Linked DNA regions of Caenorhabditis elegans. The protein of the gene in region 1 purifies or fractionates together with the protein of each later gene. This does not show direct contact. Each region holds a gene or a part of one and is shown on either strand. Other genes may lie near its edges. The genes, in order: imp-2, pdi-6, tmed-10 and copb-2.

The links.
Region 2: the proteins of imp-2 (region 1) and pdi-6 fractionate together in Caenorhabditis elegans (co-fractionation; one large-scale study listed by BioGRID). This does not show direct contact.
Region 3: the proteins of imp-2 (region 1) and tmed-10 fractionate together in Caenorhabditis elegans (co-fractionation; one large-scale study listed by BioGRID). This does not show direct contact.
Region 4: the proteins of imp-2 (region 1) and copb-2 fractionate together in Caenorhabditis elegans (co-fractionation; one large-scale study listed by BioGRID). This does not show direct contact.

What each region holds. Positions count from the first base shown.
Region 1 is NC_003282.8:11,116,190-11,120,661, forward strand, and holds imp-2 (Intramembrane protease 2), read right to left. Parts: upstream 2,699-4,472; 5' UTR 2,675-2,698; coding exon 2,606-2,674; intron 2,485-2,605; coding exon 1,675-2,484; intron 1,395-1,674; coding exon 867-1,394; 3' UTR 543-866; downstream 1-542. Other genes in the region: clc-9 (CLaudin-like in Caenorhabditis), read left to right, coding at 57-148, 201-347; enpl-1 (Endoplasmin homolog), read left to right, coding at 3,262-3,307, 3,525-3,594, 4,443-4,472. UniProt on the Caenorhabditis elegans protein: Acts as intramembrane protease. In larvae, required for the complete shedding of the cuticle during molting, possibly by regulating cholesterol uptake via lrp-1. Involved in embryonic and larval development.
Region 2 is NC_003284.9:7,065,804-7,070,294, forward strand, and holds pdi-6 (Protein disulfide-isomerase A6 homolog), read right to left. Parts: upstream 2,761-4,491; 5' UTR 2,638-2,760; coding exon 2,604-2,637; intron 2,498-2,603; coding exon 2,189-2,497; intron 2,107-2,188; exon of another isoform or gene 1,966-2,106; intron 1,767-1,965; coding exon 1,103-1,766; intron 1,052-1,102; coding exon 736-1,051; 3' UTR 539-735; downstream 1-538. UniProt on the Caenorhabditis elegans protein: May function as a chaperone that inhibits aggregation of misfolded proteins. May negatively regulate the unfolded protein response (UPR) through binding to UPR sensors.
Region 3 is NC_003283.11:11,323,424-11,328,582, forward strand, and holds tmed-10 (GOLD domain-containing protein), read right to left. Parts: upstream 3,542-5,159; 5' UTR 3,524-3,541; coding exon 3,419-3,523; intron 3,299-3,418; coding exon 3,236-3,298; intron 3,186-3,235; coding exon 2,861-3,185; intron 981-2,860; coding exon 859-980; 3' UTR 542-858; downstream 1-541. Other genes in the region: str-141 (Serpentine receptor class r-10), read right to left, coding at 64-145, 218-397.
Region 4 is NC_003282.8:9,457,942-9,464,564, forward strand, and holds copb-2 (putative coatomer subunit beta'), read left to right. Parts: upstream 1-1,789; 5' UTR 1,790-1,795; coding exon 1,796-1,957; intron 1,958-2,026; coding exon 2,027-2,515; intron 2,516-2,560; coding exon 2,561-2,694; intron 2,695-2,743; coding exon 2,744-2,976; intron 2,977-3,088; coding exon 3,089-3,404; intron 3,405-3,451; coding exon 3,452-3,803; intron 3,804-3,858; coding exon 3,859-4,100; intron 4,101-4,147; coding exon 4,148-4,985; intron 4,986-5,057; coding exon 5,058-5,198; intron 5,199-5,270; coding exon 5,271-5,366; 3' UTR 5,367-6,079; downstream 6,080-6,623. Other genes in the region: F38E11.6 (Adenylate kinase), read right to left, coding at 6,373-6,402. UniProt on the Caenorhabditis elegans protein: The coatomer is a cytosolic protein complex that binds to dilysine motifs and reversibly associates with Golgi non-clathrin-coated vesicles, which further mediate biosynthetic protein transport from the ER, via the Golgi up to the trans Golgi network.

The DNA.
Region 1 (4,472 bases):
GCGTTATAACGTAGATTTCAATTTTAAAAGTTGATTCATCACTGAAATAATTTCAGCAATGTGTTCTCTATCTGGATTTTTGACGTATACCTACTATTACGAATTGAAAGACAATCAATATGAATTGGTATCCGGATATCAGTTTCAGGTTTGTTCATATTTGCAAAATTAAAGTTATTTACAAAAATTCGAAATTTCAGATTCATTACGGTTGGGCATATTATGTTTTTGGTTTTTCTTCCCTCCTACAGTGGGCAGCTTTCGTGTGTAGTCTGTTTGGTTCTGCATTCGTTCTCGTTCACAAAAATAAAAAACGACAGTCCAAAGTAACAAGTACATCACTCTAAAACTTTCACATTTCGACCAATTTCTTTTCACTTTTCAAAAATATTGCTCTTTCGCGGGTGTCATCCCCAAAACTCTTTCACCTTATTATGTTGATATGTTAGCTAATAATGTAACAGGATATTTTGATTTTCTGAATGACATTTGATAGCTACTTCGTTATTGTGGTCTGTATATATTTAAAAAAAGATGAACGTATAAATAAATTCAATGCATTTATAGAATAAGTTACTAAATACATGTAAATAAATATGAAAACAAAATACCTTTTTTGGTTCAAACAGGACAGTAAGGGGGTTGGAAAAGCTAAAAAGACCCGGGAAAACGGAAGATAACAATGGAAAGGACAGGAATCAGAATGATTATGCTAGGATGTGGTGGGACATGGAATCGAGTTGAATTAAATGACTAGAATATCTAGAAATAGTCAAAAGTACGATAAGTTAGGTTTTCCAATTCAAGTATTCTTCGAAAACAGAATAACAAGCAGGAATAGCATACTTTAGACTATTTTAAATCATTTAGTTATTTTTCTTGCCGGAGTCTACTTTCTTTCGATTTTCTTCGTTATCCACATGTCTTGATTCATCGTAGTTCCATAAAGCCGAAAGTTCTCCACGGATCACAGCAAGAAGGAGGGGTACGAAAAGACAACACGGCACCAAATAGAGAAGAGCTGGTTGAGCAGCCTTGAAGTGATGCATAACAGCCATAGTGATGAAAAGTCCAGCCATGTAAGCGACGACAGTAACCACGAAGTAGTATCGTCCTTTCAAGGATCCTTGTGGAGCCTTCGACTCGGCAGTCGTTTGAACAACTCTGTAGTCGAACCGACGAAGGAGAGCAATGAAGATTCCAGGGATAACAATGTCTCCAAGCCCAAGCATACTGTGCTTACTGGCTTCCATTATTCCATTTCGATAGATATCTTGAGGGAATTGGAGCAAAATCGGAGCATCAATTCCTTTTGCGACAGATGTCATCACGTCTGTTCCGAAAACCCAGAAGATGTCATAGAAAAAGAGACCAACGAGAAGAAGGGATCCAGCCTGTAAAAAAAATTAATAATGATATTAATTAGTCTTTTCAATGAAATTTTTTTAAAACCTATTTTTGCAAATAACGGTTTGATATTTAAAAGTTTCTTTTAAACAGCTTTAGGCCAAAATTGAGAACTATTTACTTTGTCCAAATATTTCAAGTTAGTTCAAAAATATATTATTACTATCTGGTCAATTGAAATTATTCTTCCATTCAGTAAGCGTAATTGTAGCTTTTTTGTCTTATTACAAAAATATTGCTATATTTTTTAATAATTGTTAAATTTACCTTGAAACTGGCCAAATGAAGACGTTCGATTCCCAAGATTGAGAAGCTCACTCCGATAATATTATTGGTGATCCAGTGTCTTTTCAGCAGGTGAGAAATGAGAATTGGAGAGCACATCAATAAAGCGATGATATCGTAACGATCAAAGTCAATTTTGAAAAGATATTCCGTTTCCTTTTTCTTCGCATCTTCGATATCACCCTCTTCCATTTCCTTATTTCCCTTTTTGAGAGAGAATAAGTACGGAGCATTGAATCTTAAGAAGGATGGAACCAGTGGCATCTTTTTGAGAAACGCGGTAACAAATGGCTTCAACAGAGACGCGAAAGCGTTGACTCCTTCGAAACAGATGAGGAAAGTCAAGAGTTGCATACATTCTGCTTTTTGAATTGTTGGTAAGTTGGTATAAGCGTATGTAGCCGCATTTTGAATTGCTTCTGGAACGCGTTCTTGAGGTATCCTTGACGCCAAGCGGAGCAAGAATGGCTCGGAAGGCCCAGTAGTCGTAGTATTAGCGGTATAGCTGATAATAGTGCTATTGATCTTCTGGACATATTCTTCGGGAACTCGCAGAATTTGGAAGACTCTGGCAACCCAAAGGAAGCGTTCGGCGGCAGGCTTGAAGAAGAGGTAGAGACCGAAGAGAACCAGAGAAGCAGAAATAGGGAATTTCCTGGCTTCTCTCATAGTGATCGAACCTTCAATAAGTCGCTTCTTGTCAATATTCGTCCTTATGTATTGAGCTGAACGAATCGATCCAATGATGATGCAGAGGATAGACATTCCGTAAAGCGCCAACGAGCTTGTAGCCTGAATGAAAAATTGATTTAAAAAAGTTCGCATGGCTATTTATCACATTTAATAAAAACTTCGTTGTAATTTTATACTTGTCCACTTCATTTATTTTACAAAATTTCAGTAAAAATCTCACCTGTTCTTCGAATGTAAAAACTGTGACATTGCTAGCCGTCGGCGGGATTTCGGTCGCTGCTTCAGCCATGTCGCGAAAGGTTTGAATTCCCAACTGGAAAAACTGAGATTAAGAAATGGAGGTATATTGCCTGATTGAGATGAGAAACCGGTTTATGAGACGGATAAACAAGTAAGTTTGCTGAGTAACGATCACAAATTTCACAAATTCTCAAGACAAGTGAGATGATTAATTTCTATAAGGATTAATTTAGATGATCCGAACATTACTTGAGTGACTGTTATAATAGAAAGACTGAAAAATCGTCTTTTAAATTAACATATTCCATATTGCTGGATCCGGCAAACAAAAACAATGTTCCAGGACACTCACTCCACGTGTTCTGAGCTGTCGTCTCGGTCGTTGATTGGCTGATTCCGCCTCTGTTTGCAACTAGTAACGCGCCGCAGTTTGCAGTTTTCAGTGAAGGACAACGTGTTTGCAAGAGACGCAGACACTGTGCGGCACTTGCAAATTGGGGCGGGACTTTTAGGGACACGTCGAGAAGGGGTGAGCCCCGGCGAAAGAAAGCAAACAAGCGGAGAGAAAAGGGGAGTAATTGACCGTTGGAAAGACACCTCATTCCATTTATTCTCGGTCGTTAGGAAGAGACGGCGATGAGATTCCTTTTGGTGGGCTTCGTCGCCCTTCTGGCTGTTTCAGGTATGTCTTTTTATTGATTTTCAGAGCTTAGTGAGCTTTAAATAGAAAACCGTAGTTTTGAAATTGTAAAAAAAATTTTTAAGCTTAAATGTACGCTGAAAATATTAAAACTGTGTTCACAGAATAAAAACATTAGGCTTTATTTTTTCATTCTGTGCATACACGCCACGCAGTTTTTGAATTCACGTTTTTATTCCCAACAATCATCACTTTTCAGCCTTCATTCCAAATGTCTACGCCGAAGATGAAATCGAAGACGCACCAAAGGAAACCAAAGAAGAAACAAGGTAATTTTTGATAATTTGATTATTATGAAAAATTGCAATTTGAAAAAGTCTAGAGAATTTTGAATTGTGTTTCGTACATTTTTTGAACAATTTCGTGAATATGTCGAAATCAGAATCAATAACCTTGTTAATTTTTAATTAGATCTAATATATCAGAAATATCTTTCGAATTCGTTTTTCGCTCTTAATATTGAATAGTTACAGTTTTAGCTGGATTAAGTGTTCCAAAAAGATAAATCACATTTTCTTCCACTTTCCAAATAAATTGACCTGTCACTACGTGTCTGTTCCTTTTCCTGGTTACTCTGAACTATCTCAATATTTGTCTACCCCCGGCCTCAGCCAAAACTTTTGAACGGTACCAGGTCGCGTCAGTCCACTTGGTGACTCTCATCCGTTTTGCACACTATTTTGTACTCCCGCGGAGCACTATTTGATTGAGTCTTGCCCTTTGTCGGAATGCAAACAGACTCGATCTACTGCTAGGTTATCTTATCTTGTTTGTGTTTCCTTTTTCTCAAATAAGAAAAATCGGCTGAAGGGTCAAGAGAGACTAAAAGGGTTATCTCCGACCTAGATAATTTAACGTATGCTTTCCTAGATTCACGTAATAGCCTGTCAAGGACGGAGATACGAATCACAAGATTTAATCTTCTGCTAATGGAAGGTGTAGTATTAGGGATGCCATACACGGATTAGAAGTGAACGCATTATTTTCTAGGGTTTCTGATAAAATTTTGGAAAATTAAAGATCAAAACTGTACAATTAAAACACAATACAGTTTAAAACAATTTAAAAATATAACTAGTTAACAAAAAAAATTGAAATTGATAAATAATATTTTCAGAGAGGAAGATTCGATCAAGCTCGATGGACT
Region 2 (4,491 bases), on another chromosome or scaffold:
TTGGTAAATCATGAATTTATTGAAAACGTCTTGTTTGAAAAAGAATCTGTAAAATATTCTGAAACAATCAACATTTCGGAAATTTATTTTAAAAAATCGCAAACAACTCTTTTGAATATGAATATGAAAATGAAAATGAATATGAATTATGAATATGAACTAGGAGCACGTAACCTTGAAAAAGCTCAGAACAAATGGTGTGGTTGAATGTGAACATAAACCAGAAAAAAAAACAATCTAAACATATCAGTTCATAACTTTGTTTCTTGACTAATAGTGGTGAAAATCACCAAATTTTACTTATTTGATCTGACCAGCACAAGTTTTCTGCTTCTTTGGTTTTGTATCCCTTTGTGCCCGAGTAATTGAATTGGTAACGTTTGAATTATTAAGTTGCTCTAGCAGCTGAAAGTTATTAAAAATATATCTTACATCGATATTAAATATTTCTCAACCCTTAGTTCCGTATTGAAAAAGAAAATCAAGAATTTGAAAACCTTCAACCGAAGATTTTTGATTTTCACTTTTAATAATCCATAGCTTCCTGAAATACTTTATTTAACAAAACAGAGAACAAAAATAAATAAATACGAGAAAAATCGCTAAAGTCACAAAACATGTATGGATGTAACGCAGTTAGACGAGTTATCTGGTGAGAACACCCGTTACAATTAAAACAAAATTGCATGGTGAGAGTAAGTTTTTGGTGTCGATGTATGTAGAAAATTCATGATTTTAAAGCTCGGTCTTATCGAGGTCAATGTCAGACAAGTCGATGTCGTCTTCAGCTGGAAGGGCTCCGTCCTTTCCGTCCCACTTCTCAGTCTTCTGAATCTTTGGGAATCCATCTCCTCGAAGGGAAGAAGTGCGTCCCTTTCCATACGAGAGATCACGGAGGAACTCGTGGATTCCATCTTTTCCGAAGGATCCCTTGAGCACGGCGTACTTGTTCTTGCGGAAGTTCAAAGCAGTCATGGCTGGATATCCAAAACCTCCAACTTCGAAGGACTCCTCAAGAGCTGGCTGAGCGGCTCCTTCAACCCAAATCCATCTGAAATTATTTAAATTAGAATGAAATTTTGTAAAATTATATAAAACATACCCCCAAAGGTTCTTCTTGAATTTCTCGGATTGCTCCTTGAGCATAGCCAAATAATTGTTTCTGCACTCCGATTGGCAGTCAAGAATGTGTGGGAGGAAGGCAAAAATGCAAAGCTGTTTCTCCTTGCATGCATCCTCTACGACTTGTTGGTTGATTCCTTCAAAGACCTCTGGAGCTGGCATGTTTTCTTGAGCACGAGCTGAAGCCCAGGCAACGATGTCAGAAGATTGACGTCCTCCATCGTAGTCTTGAGCGTCAGAAACATCAGATCCTGGAGCGAAATACTTGATGGTTGGGAATCCACGAATGGCGAACTTGTTGGCGACGACAGTATGAACAGTGGCGTCGAGAGCTCCGAGACGAACTTTGCCCTTGAGTTCAGAAGCGGCGGCCTTCCATTGTGGCTCAAGGCTTTTGCAGTGTCCGCACCATGGGGCAAAGAACTCGACAAGCCAGATATCCTTGCTGTTGAGAACGAGATCCTCGAAGTTGGCATCAGTAAGTTCAACAACTTCATTTCCAGATCCACCTCCTCCACGCTTTCCAGATCCAGATCCGGATCCACTGCTGCTGCTTCCTGATGATTTTCCTCCAAGCCGAGCAGAGACTGCCTTTTTGGCTTCAGCGAGAACCGAGTCAGCGATTGCCTGAGCAGTTCTTTGTCCTGCAAAAATAAATCAATATCATCTTGGTCTTTTTACACACATACACAGACACACGCACGCTCTAAATGACCCAGATCGCTCAGAGGCCGGCGTCTCTCCTATCTTCCACCCTATAGACTGGTACGCACAATTACTTTGCCGCAAGGTCGTCCACATCTATAGAGCGGATCGGCCAAACATAATATCTGAGCAAACAGTTACTAAACACACAACTAGTTGCGGCCAGCTCAATTGACTGACCGACAGTGCACACAGAAAATAGTTCGAGTGGGGAGAGGGTGGAAATGAGACAAATCAGTTTTTGTTTGCCGTACCGGCTTGTGACTATTGTCCTTTTTCAGTTATTTTTGTGCAAGTTTGTCGACAACCAATCCAAATTTCCGCTTGTAAATTATTAAGAAGAAATTGGATAATTGCTTACCGTTGTAGTCTGTTGGCTTCTTCTTGTCGGCTCCGAAGATCTTGAGAGTTGGGAATCCTTGAACATTGTATGGTCCTCCGACGGATTGATGTTGAGTCATATCAACGGCTCCAACCTTGGCGACTCCCTTGAGTGCTGAAGCAGCTTTCTTGTATTCTGGGACCAGACTCTTGCAGTGACCGCACCATGGAGCATAGAACTCAACAATCCAAATATCATCAGAGTTGATAACCTTTGATTGGAAATTGGCCTCGGTCAGCTCGACGACATCATCCTTTTTTGAGTACATTCCACATACCGAAGTTATCGCTGCAAAATTTTAATTAATTTAATATTAGTTTTGTATAAAATTCTTTTTTCCTAATCAAAAACACCAAATGAAGAATACTTCACATTTTCTAAAACAAAAACTTACCCAAAGATGCGAGGAGCAACTTGATGAGAGCCATGACGATCCACTAATCTCACTGGTTTGTCTGTGAGACCGTACAGAATGGGGAGCGATTCCAAACTGAGTCAAATGCGTGTACAGAGGGCGGGAGTGTGACGTTGCGCGTCGTGTGTGTGCAGTTGATTGGTCAACGTGTCGTACAGTAGAGCGCTTTGCGCAAATAGTTCTCGCCACGGCCCCGGCACAGGCATTAAATGGAGAGTTGCGAAATGCAATGAGAAAACTATGAGGGTTAGGGAAGACGTTTTAAAAAGAAAAATTTAATAAAAAAAATGTTTTTTTAACAGAATCTATTAATTTATCGAAATAACTGAAAACATTTCGATGATTACACGACAAAATAAAATTCCTCAGTGTTTGTTCTTTCTTGTTTTCAAAAATATTTTTACATCTAACATTTATAAATTGTTTATCTTGAAATAAACTTGTAACACTCTCAATGCCAAAAATAGTTATTTGGAATAAAGGTGTTAATTGAAGATTTCCAACAAAATAATCTTGCGATACGGTCAGTGGACCGTTCTTATTCCTTGTCTACATTAATTACCTACTGGAACTGTTCCCCACGGATGTTTTTGTATACGCATTTGCCGACGATATCAAGATACTCGGTGAAAATTCGGACTCTATGCAAAAAGCGATCAATGTCGTCACTGATTGGTGTGCAAAGTGAAACTTAAACTTGGCCGAGAACAAAACCAATGTCATACACCTCGGGAAGCGCAACCCAAGAACAGATTATCATGCGAATGGAATACAAATAATTAAAAAGTATTCAGTCAACGATCTAGACATTTTCGTGGATTGCAAGCTAAACTTCCAAAAACATATCGAATATGTATCAAATTCTGCTTTCCTCAAGTGTAGACAGCTTCTTCGATGCTTTCGCTTTACCAATGTCAGTTTGTACTTTAAGTTATACAACGTTTACGTTCAACCGCTGCTGAATTACGGATGTGAGGTCTACAACCCTAACTCCAAACGTCTGATAAAGCTACTTGAAATGCCGCTGAAATTCTATTCAAGAAGAGTGTATCAACGATGCAATGTCTCAAACACGTCGTACGATGATCGACTGGCTCAGTCAAATCAAAAATCCATTCAACACCAGCGAATTCTCCAAATATTAAGGACCTACCACAACATCTTATCTGGCGAATACCATTTTCCGGATGTCTCAGCACTAAAGAATTCCTCGGCAATTCCCGACAGCTTCTTCCCCAAGTTTGGGCCTTTTCAGCTTCTTACCCAACTCTTGCCAACTTCTAACCCAGAGTATGCCCAAGTCTTACCCAACTTCAGCAATTCTAGTGTAAACTCCCTCGCCCGAGTTCTGCCCAAGCCTTAGCCAAGTTTTGCCAACTTCTTACCCAAGTTTGCAGATGTAAAGAACGAACAAGATTCCGAAATTCCACATGCGCAATGTTTAGCGTAAATCGACACTTTGTCTTTTGATTAATTTGTATTTACAATAGAGGAATTTCAATGTAATTGAAAGAATTCACAGGAAAACTTGTCCCTTCAAAGGCAAATTCTAAATATTTTTCTTTGATGGCTAACATTGTTAAAGAAAATGTACGAACAGAGTCTGATTTTTATTGCCATTTTATCTAATAAACCATATAATTTATCTAAAAATAAAAAGAAAAGTTATCTTCAGGAAGATTCTTCTCCTAGTCAGTCCAATAGTCAGATAATAGTCAGTCAATCCTATGCATCAAATTTTGAATTTTTCTAAGACTGAACTGTTCCTTTGAAATGTAAACTTTTATAAAATTAAGAGACATGAAACAAACACGAATTACAGTAATTCTCTAAATTCTGAACTTAGAATCATTAGGGAGCACACTTG
Region 3 (5,159 bases), on another chromosome or scaffold:
AAAAAGAGGGAAATTCATTTTTTGTTTAAGAGTTCTATGAAAAGTAAAATGTTTAAAACTAACAAGCAACTACATTTCCAATGCCTTGAGAAAAAACGTTATTATCAAGAAACACGACAAACATTGGACCTTTCATGTATAGTACCTGAAAGACGATTATTTGAAGTAACATTCTCAAAATTTCAATTTCAAGTTCCAATTTTCTATTGTATCGTACCGGCTGTGCAATTATCTCTACTGCAGAGTACAACATCGAACAAAATGTGAATACAAACATAACATGACGGTAACTACCAAACAGTTTTCCAGCTCTTTTCACAATTAATATTGCCAGAACAGTATTGAAGATTTGTGCTCCGAAAAAGCCGGCGTAGTGGAAAATATGTAGACCGATCATTGTTGTAAGTGAACTGGTGGAGAATGAAGTCTGAAGTTATTTCTGAAAGGATGACGTCTGAAAAAGACTTCTTGAAAAGTGATCTTATGTACTTTACTAAATCACCATATGGTGAGTAAATTACCAATTGATGTTTCAATGTTTCAATTTAAAAGTTCATAATAATGATTTTAAAAAACGGCAATGATGAAAACAGAAAAATAAGACGGAAACATTACACACTATACATTTTACCCTTTGTTGATACTTGTGCAGATTAACGGGGGAGGAAACAACTAAAATCCAACAAAATAAAATACTCATTATCATCATTATCTAGTAAAAAAGATGTGGGAACCAATTAGAAATCACATGAAACGTTTGGGTGTGTGGACAAAAGAGATGTTGGGGGAAAAGCAAGAAGTTGAGGAGAACCGAAAAAAAAATTGATAAATTAATCATAAATTAAGGGTTGGGGAAATCTAGTCGATAAGCTTTTTCGACTTGAAGTAATTACGGAGGAAAAGAACTTGCCAAATGGCAAGACCAAGAAGGCACAGCATTGAAAAGATGGACAGGTAAAGAACTCGGCTGTTTGTCGATTCTGTAAAAAAAAGTAAAAAATAGATGGTTGTCGATGAATCGAATAATTAGAGTTTGCTCAAGTAAAGTGGTAAACAATTTCCAGGGATCACAATATCCTGCTCCGTGAAGAGAATGAATTGCGTCTCGAAACGATATGTTGTAGCCTTACAAATCTATTTAATTAACAATGATAATAAAAGCTTAATACAGTGCTCCACATAATGATACGGCCACCCCCAAATTTTGGTATAACTCAAAACTGGGTTGAGATAGCAAAACATAATTTCTTGTGAAAATGTCCGCTGTACTGGCTAACTTTCAGATAAGTATTGGAAATATACATGAACCGTTCGTAAAAAAAGATAAACCATTTTTTCATGAAAATCCATATAAAAAAATCCACAAAATGATACGGCCACCCTTGGTTTTTGTTTTCTTTTTTCGTTTTCTTTGCAATTTTTTTTTGCTAAACGTTAGGTTTTATGTTCGTTTGTGTTTTTACAGCTATGTGTCGTGGAATAACTTTAACTGACTACGGAAAAAGACGAATTGTGCAAAATTATCTCAAGGCTTTTCGGATCGTCAGATTTTTCGTGATTTGAAACGTTCAAGAGATATGATCACTCGATTTGCTTCAAATCCTGCCACTTATTGCACCAAAAAGTCTTCTGGTCGCCCACCACTTCTTTCTGGTAGAGACAAGCGAAAAATCGTTCGTCTAGCATCCAATTGAACAGTGACTTGCTCAAAAATTAGGCGCGAGATGAACCTGCCAGTGTCTGTTGAGACTGCACGACGTGTTATTTCGAAGTCTCAGTTTATCAAAAGACGAAAATTAGGAAAGGCTCCTTTCATTACCGAAAAACACTGCCAAAGTCGTATTCAGTTTGCTAAAATCAGCCAGAGAACTAACTGGAGACAAGTGAGGATTACGGTATGATCATTCAAGCTCATGTATTGGTCTCAGATCATCTTCAGTGACGAGGAAAAGTTTAACTGTGATGAACCAGAAGGCTACCGTGATTACTGGTACGATTTGAGAGAAGAAAAGATGAACTAAAACCAAAATTGGGCTTGAATGATCATACGGTAATCTTCACTTGTCTCCAGTTAGTTCTCTGGCTGATTTTAGCTAACTGAATACGATTTTAGCGGTTTTTTCGGTAATGAAAGGAGCCTTTCTCAATTTTCGTCTTTTGATAAACTGGGAATTCGAAAGAACACGTCGTGCAGTCTCAACAGACACTGGCAGGTTCATCTCGCGCCTAATTTTTGAGAAAGTCACTGTTCAATTTGATGCTCGACGAACGATTTTTCGCTTGTCTCTACCAGAAAGAAGTGGTGGGCGACCAGAAGACTGTTTGGTGCAATGAGCGGCAGGATTTGAAGCATATCGAATGATCATATCTCTCGAACGTTTCAAATCACGAGAAATCTGACGATCCGAAAAGCCTTGAGATAATTTTGCACAATTTGTCTTTTTCCGTAGTCAGTTAAAGTTATTCCACGACACATAGCTGTAAAAACACAAACGAACATGAAACCTAACGTTTAGCAAAAAAAATTGCAAAGAAAACGAAAAAAGAAAACAATAACCAAGGGTGGCCGTATCATTTTGTGGATTTTTTTATATGGATTTTCATGAAAAAATGGTTTATCTTTTTTTACGAACGGTTCATGTATATTTCCAATACTTATCTGAAAGTTAGCCAGTACAGCGGACATTTTCACAAGAAATTATGTTTTGCTATCTCAACCCAGTTTTGAGTTATACCAAAATTTGGGGGTGGCCGTATCATTATGTGGAGCACTGTACTTGGATAATCGGCAATGCATTATTTTTAAATTAAAATAATTACGAACCTTTTATATGATTCAAATGATTTTTTAAACACTTACCGTTCGTATTTCTCATTTCTTCCTCTCTTTGGCGCATGAATGCGAAATCTTTGGTGATTGAATCAGCCATATCCTCCAATCTTCTAAGTTCAACCTCGAGTGGCTTCAGCTTCTCGGCTTTGGCAATATCATCATAATTCTTGGCTTCGACTCCGTGCTTCAAAATAAGAGAAACCTCGCGCTTCTCTCCAGGATGCCCAGCTGGTGGATGATTCTCAATGCAAATCTCAAAGATGTCGTATTCGTCAGCAGTGAACGCGAATTTTCCTTTTAGATCAGCAAAGTTTTCACGTTTGTAGAGAGTGTGGCCTCTGGTGTCGGTGACCTGAAAATAAATTAAAAATTTGAAGTAATTTTGAAACTATTTTTACTCACGTGAATACTTCCAGTGTATTGAATTCCTTGACTGAACTCATATTCTCCTGTTACGACCACATTCTGCAAGAGGTTTTATTAGACATAAATTCTGATGTTTATTAAATATATCAATTTTTAACGAAAAAAAGTATGTTTGACATCTTTACTGCTATGGTAACAAGGAGTTGTAAAAGTATTTACCTTGTGAATTTCCTCTTTCAGACACTTTTTCTCTTTTGGTGGCACGTAGAACCTCAGAGAATGGGCAAGAACGATAGCTGACAGAAAGATAACTAGAGATTTCATAATTGTTCGGATGATTACCTGGAAATAAATGTAAGAAAAATGCGATAATGAATATTAAGTTGTTCAAAAGTTATCATGGACAAAAATCAGTTCATGTTAAAGGAATACACAGCAAAAATCAATACAAACGCCGAAAATAAATTTAAAAAAGATGGAATTAAAACCAACGCGGCGTATGCAGTTGCGCGTGGGATCGAGTGTGTACGCAAACACGCATTGGCAACCGTAGTTGAGTTGTCAACGTTGACAAACGCATTTTAACAGGAAAACACAGCGCCTCAAATCGGGAGAGTTAAGAAAATCGAGAATAGGAAAGTCCAACGGAGCGCGTTTGCACACTTTTACGGTATTAAATGAGTTTCAGACGAAATTTCGCGATTATTCGAGTTTTCAAGATGAAATTTGGAAAAAATAATTAAATATTGGGATTATTATTGCTTTAAAAAAGTTTTAAAAAACATTTTATTCAACAAATTCACGATTTGGCTGCTTTTTCATTGATTTTCGAACCGACTAGAACAAGTTAACTTTATGACAAAATTTCTACGCGAAACAAATTTTTTCAAGCATTAATATGTTTGATTCCAATTTTTAAACGTCAGCTTGATAGAGATAACACGGTTTCACGTCTTGAAATTGTTCAAAAATGCCCACATCAACGGAAACTGTTTAGTTGGCAGCTGATCTTCACTAAACCAACACTAAATGTTCAGATCAAATCACAACTTGTTTGATCATTTGAAAAAACATTTTTGAATCATTGTTTCCCACAAAAAGCAGATGATAAGTAGTATAGCATGATGAGAATCCATTAGATTCTTCATATGCGCATAGCTATAGATACTGTATCTTCGACAACTCCTATCTCCTCAGAGATGCAAGATATCAAAAAGTGATTAACTAGGAAATTGTAGAAACTATACTAATTAGTTAAAATCATGTGTTTATCTCTTAAGATGAGGGAGTTAGAGCAGCCAGTAGAATAACAAAAAGCATGCAATACAAATGTACGTCTAACTCCCCCATCTTGAAAGATAAAAACGCAGGTTAAATTGAATATCATAGTTTTTGATGTGCTCTACAAGTTCTCTCACCTCTCCGAGTAGATAGGAGTTGTCGAAGTTGAGGTATCTAGAGCCGTAGAGGGCAGGAAGAACCTGATGGTTCCTTATTAAGAAAAAGAAAATATAACACGAAACTTGTAAAAAATGTTAATTTGATCATTTATGTGAGTATTTGATCCATTTTTTAAGGAAAATTGGAGAGCAACACTTGCATAAGAAATTTGGCGTGGCATAGATCCATTGGTAGATTGGAACATTGAAATTTGATCAGAACTATTTGTACTTTTAGTGATTTTGATTGATTTGTAGCTTTATTCTAGTGAAATCTTTGATTTCATACAAGTTTTTTAACCAATTTTGCAAGATTTCCCTTGATAAATGTTGCTTTACTTTTTTATCGATTTCGTTGTAAAGAAAAATCATTTTCTGTGTTATCAGTCAAATTAATGACTAAAACACTTTAAAAAGATTCAAACTATTAGTAAAAATTCTAAAATTGAATATTTATGCAATAAATTGCTCTAAAATCAATTTTTATTTGCAAAATTCTGTTTTTGGTCAAAAAAAATTTT
Region 4 (6,623 bases), 1.7 Mb from region 1:
AAAATACTGACCAGATTAACGTTTTGAATTTTCAAAATATCCCCATCCGCATTGCTGCAGGCCTTCAGAACTTTTGAGATCACGATCTTTATGGCACGCAAGTCGGCATTCTGCGGGATTTCTACATTTTTCTCGAGGAATCCATCAAGTATCTTACAAGTTTTTATAGTTCAAAGAATGCTCTTGGTCTGGAGATTCTTTAAAAACAAAAATCCAAAAAATTTCTATCGTGGTATTTCTGTACGGACTGTGGCAGTAGTTTAGGTCTTGAATGACACAGTCGCCAGAAAGATGGATGTGAGCGGCGGCACCAGTATTCATTTTAGTACTTTTTGGCACGGTTTGACCTGAATTTTCAGAATTTTTAGAAAAAAATTAGCTCTGCTGATTTTGTGGGTCGTTACGCCTTGTGAAACCAAAAAAACTGAGTAAATTTCGGAAAGTTTAATTCATGAAATATTCAAAGGTTCTTGCTAGGCGCCAGTGTCGACACAGAAAATTTTTATATGCTACAAAAACAATCAAAAACGCTTCTTCATTTCTTTAACTTTCAATTTAACATAAAAATCATACATCTGAAAATTATTGGCGTGCGTGGGAGGTGCGTTTGTGTGGGAAGTGCCGCGTGCCAAAATGCCGTTTTAAAAAGGGTTCGCCAAATTGCCGAGGTGATTAAAATCGCACCTTATTGGGAAACATTACAAATTTTGGGTCAAATTGAAGGAAATTTATTCAGCTATCAGTATTCGATAGAAAAATGTACGTATGACGTGGCAGTCGCGCGAAAATCTCATGTAAAAGAGCGCTTCATGTGTTACCATACTTTTGGCCCACCCTGTATGAACATGGGTTCGTACCATGGAACCACAACGAAAATGACCAAAAGTTCCATATTTTTGAAGTCCCACAGAAAGCTATTTATTTTCTACCAGTTGTTGCATTACGTTTTGATTATTTGTATTTGAGCATTGTGTTGTCAATATTATAAGAATCATACCATTTCCACACACACACACACACACATTTTACATAAATAATTAGCTAAATTTATGTAAATTCTCTTGATAATTTACAAAAAGAACGAGCAAAATCGGTTATTCTTATTATTCCTGACTCGTATCGAGTACTCTTTCTACTATAATATTGCTCTTGGTTTGGACATTGTGGAGAACACAACAATAAGCAAGAAGATTGCCATAATCAGGTAAAACTAAGGCTGCAAAGGGGGCCTCTTCGATTTTAAGATATAACTGAGTTTTTTGAAAAATCTAAAACGTTTAAGGTTGTCCAGAGCAAAATTTGCATAAACATTCAACAACTTCACTATCAGTTTCAAAAAAAGTTGATTTTTCTCGTAATTTTTTTTCATTCATTTTACAACATTTCCTGAATGCAATTTTATTTATAAAATCTGCCACGAAGCAGCCACCGTTCGTAAGAGACACCTCACAAATGTGAGAAACGCAGACAAAAAAGTCAAAGGCACGCCGACTTTCCCGCTGTGGTCTCGATACGATCGGGGCTTTCTGAGTTGGCGATGGATGCGCCTCTACCTTTTGAGTGTTCTATCGTTTCGCCAACGTATCTTTTGATGAATTTTAAGATTTTCTTCTAAAAAAGATTAATTTCGGTTGATTTAAACATCTGAATTCTAAAAATCCAGAATATTATCGATTTTTGAATGTTCTTTCGGTTTTATTTTATTTCTATAAGCTGACTATTTGCAAATCTTCCTCTTCGTGCTCAGCTTAATTTTACATTGAGTTTATTTATTTTAGCTTTTTTTCAGAACAAGATGCCTCTCCGACTTGATGTAAAAAGAAAGCTTCTGGCTCGTTCGGACCGCGTGAAATGTGTCGACTTGCATCCAGTCGAAACATGGCTTCTAGCTGCTCTTTACAATGGAAATGTTCACATCTGGAATTACGAAACACAAACGCTTGTAAAGTCATTTGAAGTAAGCTTTTTTTCAAATTTATGTGCAAACTTCATGAAATTACGAAATAACTGAATCTAAATTTTGCAGGTGTGTGACGTACCAGTTCGTGCAGCGAAGTTCGTTCCAAGAAAGAGCTGGGTTGTCACGGGATCTGACGATATGCATATTAGAGTTTTCAACTACAACACATTGGAACGAGTTCATCAATTCGAAGCACATTCTGATTATCTCCGATCGCTCGTTGTTCATCCAACACTTCCCTACGTCATTTCATCATCCGACGACATGCTTGTTAAAATGTGGGATTGGGATAACAAATGGGCAATGAAACAGTCATTCGAAGGGCATACTCATTATGTCATGCAGATTGCCATCAATCCAAAAGATAATAACACTTTTGCAACTGCTTCTCTTGACAAAACTGTCAAAGTATGGCAGTTCGGATCGAATGTTCCGAATTTCACTTTGGAAGGACACGAGAAAGGAGTCAACTGTGTCGATTACTATCATGGTGGAGAGAAACCATACATTATTTCTGGAGCTGATGACCATCTGGTCAAGATTTGGGATTACCAAGTAAGTTTTTTTTCTCTTTGCATTCATCCAAAATGATATTTTCAGAATAAAACGTGTGTGCAAACGCTCGATGGACATGCGCAAAATGTGTCTTCAGTTTGTTTCCACCCAGAACTGCCATTGATAATCACAGGATCCGAAGACTCCACTGTTAGATTGTGGCATGCAAACACCTACAGGCAAGAACATTAAAGTACGATTTCCACAACAACAATTTAAAATTTTTAGACTGGAAACAACCTTGAATTATGGGTTGGAACGTGTTTGGTGCATCCAAGCTCAAAAAGGAGCCAACACTATTGCCATCGGATACGACGAAGGTTCCGTCACGTTGAAATTAGGCCGAGAAGAACCAGCAGTCAGTATGGATTCGTCTGGAAAGATTTTGTGGGCAAAGCACTCCGAAATTCAGCAAGCTAACCTGAAGACAATCTCAACTGAAGAGTCGGAAGCCATTCAAGGTTTGGAAAACTTTCATTCGACTTTTGTATAGTTCGGCACATGTTTTCTGAAAGTATTAAAAAAAGAGAAATTGTGTTCATTTATTATCACTCTAAGACAGTTCATTTACAGATGGAGAACGTCTGCCGCTTTCTGTAAAAGATCTCGGATCTTCTGAAATCTATCCACAAACCCTTGCTCATTCATCTAATGGACGTTTTGTTGTCGCTTGTGGTGACGGAGAATACATTGTTTATACTGCAATGGCTCTCAGAAACAAGGATTTCGGACAAGGACTCGAGTTTGTCTGGGCTGTTGATCCAAATATGTTTGCTGTCCGTGAATCTGCCACCAATGTGAAGATAAAGAAGAACTTCAAGGATCACAAGTCAATTCGTTCAGATATGGTACTTGAGGGAATTTCTGGTGGACCACTTCTTGCCTTGAGGTTTTTGAACTCTTATCAATTGACTTTTATTTAATTTTTTGTTTCAGATCGAACAACTCTTTGTGCTTCTTTGATTGGGAATCAGCCGTTCTTGTTCGTCGTATCGAAATTACTTCCAAGAGCATCTATTGGAGTGACAACGGAGAGATGGTCGCAATTTGTGGAGATGATTCATTCTACGTTCTCAAGTACAGTGCTGAAGCAGTTGCCAATGCAACAGAAGTGACCGAAGACGGTATTGAAGACGCGTTTGAGGTTATTGGAGAACAGGCAGAAGCTGTGAAGACGGGATTCTGGATCGGGGACTGCTTTATTTTCACCACTGCACTCAATAGAATCAACTATTATGTCGGTGGAGAAATTGTCACTATTGCTCATGTTGATAGACCACTTTATTTGGTGAGATTTTAAAACATGCGTTGTTCTTATCATTTTTAAAACTTAAATATTTTAGTTGGGATACATGGCTAAGGAATCTCGAGTCTATGCCGTCGATAAGGATCTCAACGTGATCTCATACAAACTTCTTCTATCTGTTCTTGAATATCAAACTGCTGTAATGCGCCGTGACTTCGATACTGCTGACAAGGTACTTACTACAATTCCAAAAGAGCAGAGAACTCGTGTTGCTCATTTCCTCGAAAAGCAAGGATTCAAGAAGCAGGCTCTTGCGGTCTCTCAAGACCCTGATCACAAGTAAGACAATTTTCAGCTTTTCAGCAATAATTTTGGAACGTTTTCAGATTCGATCTCTCGGTAGCTCTTGGAGATTTGAAGACTGCCTACGATTTGGCACTGCAAAGCGATTCAGAAGAGAAATGGAAGGCTCTCAGCAACGCCGCCACTCTTAAGTCGGAACTTCTTCTTGCTGGTGAATGTCTTGGAAGAGCTCGCGATTTCGGAGGTCTAATGCTTCTTGCAACGTGTGCCGGATCAGCTCCTCTTCTTCAGAAACTTGCGGATGACTCTGCTGCTGCCGAAAGCCACAATATCAGCTTCCTCAGTAGTTTGCTTCTTGGAGATATTGATGCTTGTCTAGACAAACTTATTTCGACTGGTCGCCTCCCAGAAGCAGCGTTCCTTGCTCGAACACATGCGCCGTCTCGAGTTTCATCTATTCTTGAATTGTGGAAAGCCAAGGCTTCGGGACACAGCGAAAAGAGTAGCAGAAAGATTGGAGAATCTCTTGCCGATCCAGTGAAGTATGAAAACTTGTTCCCTGGATTTACCCAATCACTGAAAGCAGAATCTTTCGTTCGTGAGATCTCCAAGATTCCAGTCCCAGCATCCGTTCGAGTGCCATCAGCTGCTACCCGGAATATTCAAGAGGAATTGGATGAAGCTGTTGCTTCGGGAGCAGTTTCTTTTACTGATGATGGCCAAGCAGTACTTAAGAATGCCCCAAGACAAACCGAGACACAATTGAAAGCTCCACCTCCTCCATCAGTTGCACGTCAACCCTCGCCTGTACGCCAGCCATCCCCTATTCGTGAGCCATCACCGATCCGCGAACCTGAACCTGAAGAAGAGGAAGAACAGGAAGAATTCGATGATGATCAGCAAGAGGTGCATGTTCCAGCTGTACGTTTTGAACAGTTTTTTATTCATATGGAATTTGACTATTCGTTGCTAGAATCACCAATTTATTTTCAGAATCAAGAAAGTGCCGATGCTCATGGAACATCTAAAACTCCTGATGTTGTTCTTGAGACAAGCCGGCCTGATATTGTCCCACCACGGGGGTCCGCCGCTCCAGATTTGGTTTCCGCGTCTTCACAACAATCTGCTCAAGATGTAAGTATTTATTTATAAATGTTTTGAAAATTATATAAACTGCGAAAATTCAATCAATTAATCCAATTACAGTTCCAAGATGATACGCAATGGTCAGATGAAGATTTTGGAGATGCTGAAAATGGAGACCTGAATATGGACGATCTAAATTTAGACGAGGAAGATTGACTGGTAGTCGATCGATCTGCCCAACAAGATCAGAAAGACTGAGTATCAGTGTTATTTTTTTGTGTATGTAATTTAAGCCCCCCCCCCCCCCCCTCCCGTCCTATCAATGTCCCCATTCCATCCGTAATTTCATGCACAATTTTTTGACGAATGATTCAGAGCAGATCGATCGATAGATAATTATTTTATTTTTCATGTTTCACCCCAAAAAGAGGTTTTTTTCTAACCCATCTGGTGTCGGTCACTCTCTAACATTCTTTGGGAAATTGTTAATTAGTATTATGGGAATGTGATAATGTTTTTCTTATCAAATAATTATGTAATTTATAGTGTTTTTGGCGCACTCGTCTTTTTTTGTGATTTTTATTTCTACTGGTCACTCCTGTCGTAAGCTCCCTTTGCCAACTATCCACCCAATTCATCCCTCCCCGTTTTCATATTTCTGCCTTCAAAATCACATAACTTATTGAATTTTTATGTTTATCGCCCTTTCTGATTTATAAGTAAACACTAAGTTATTTCCAGCTTTTTTGTGCGGTGTTTTTTGTATTCTAGGGGTTTTCTTCGAAGTTTTGTTCTATGGCTTTTTCCACTTCTACTATCATCCTCCCCAAAACTTTCGTGTTAACGAAAAAATGATGTAATGAGAGTTTTATTGATTGAAATGATTTTTTTTTCTTTTAACCGTGTTTGAATAAACGGAACAGAAAGTGTATGTGTGGCTGATCAGGAACAATTTGTAGATATTTATGTCTACACAAGTGATAATCAAAAGGCACTTCAAAAAAGGAGCAAAATGATAAGAGGCGTCGAGCCGATTTCAATACGGAAAAAGCGTATTCGGCGACAATCCGATACGATTTTTGGCACGGAATCCCATTTGACGAGGTTGAGCCGAAACTGAACGAGCTTCTCTTTCCATTGGTGGCTCTTCAGTATGTCTTGAAATTCGTTCGGAAGATTCGCTTCGCCGCTTGTTTAATGTTTCCGACTCGACGCCACCCCGTCAACTGTCTCGTGGTTGGCTTTGTTCTTTCTGAAATGATCATGATACTATAACAATATGATATAACATGTCGAAATTTTGTGAGATTTCTTTAAATAACCTAGTTTTTCAGTTCTCATAAATGTTTATTTTTGAATCTACACATTTCACATTTCCTTGATTTTTTACGATCCATCACTCATACGAAAACATGTGATTAATTTTGTCCCGCTTTCTCAAGGGGACTCCAAAAATTGTATATAATACTCAAT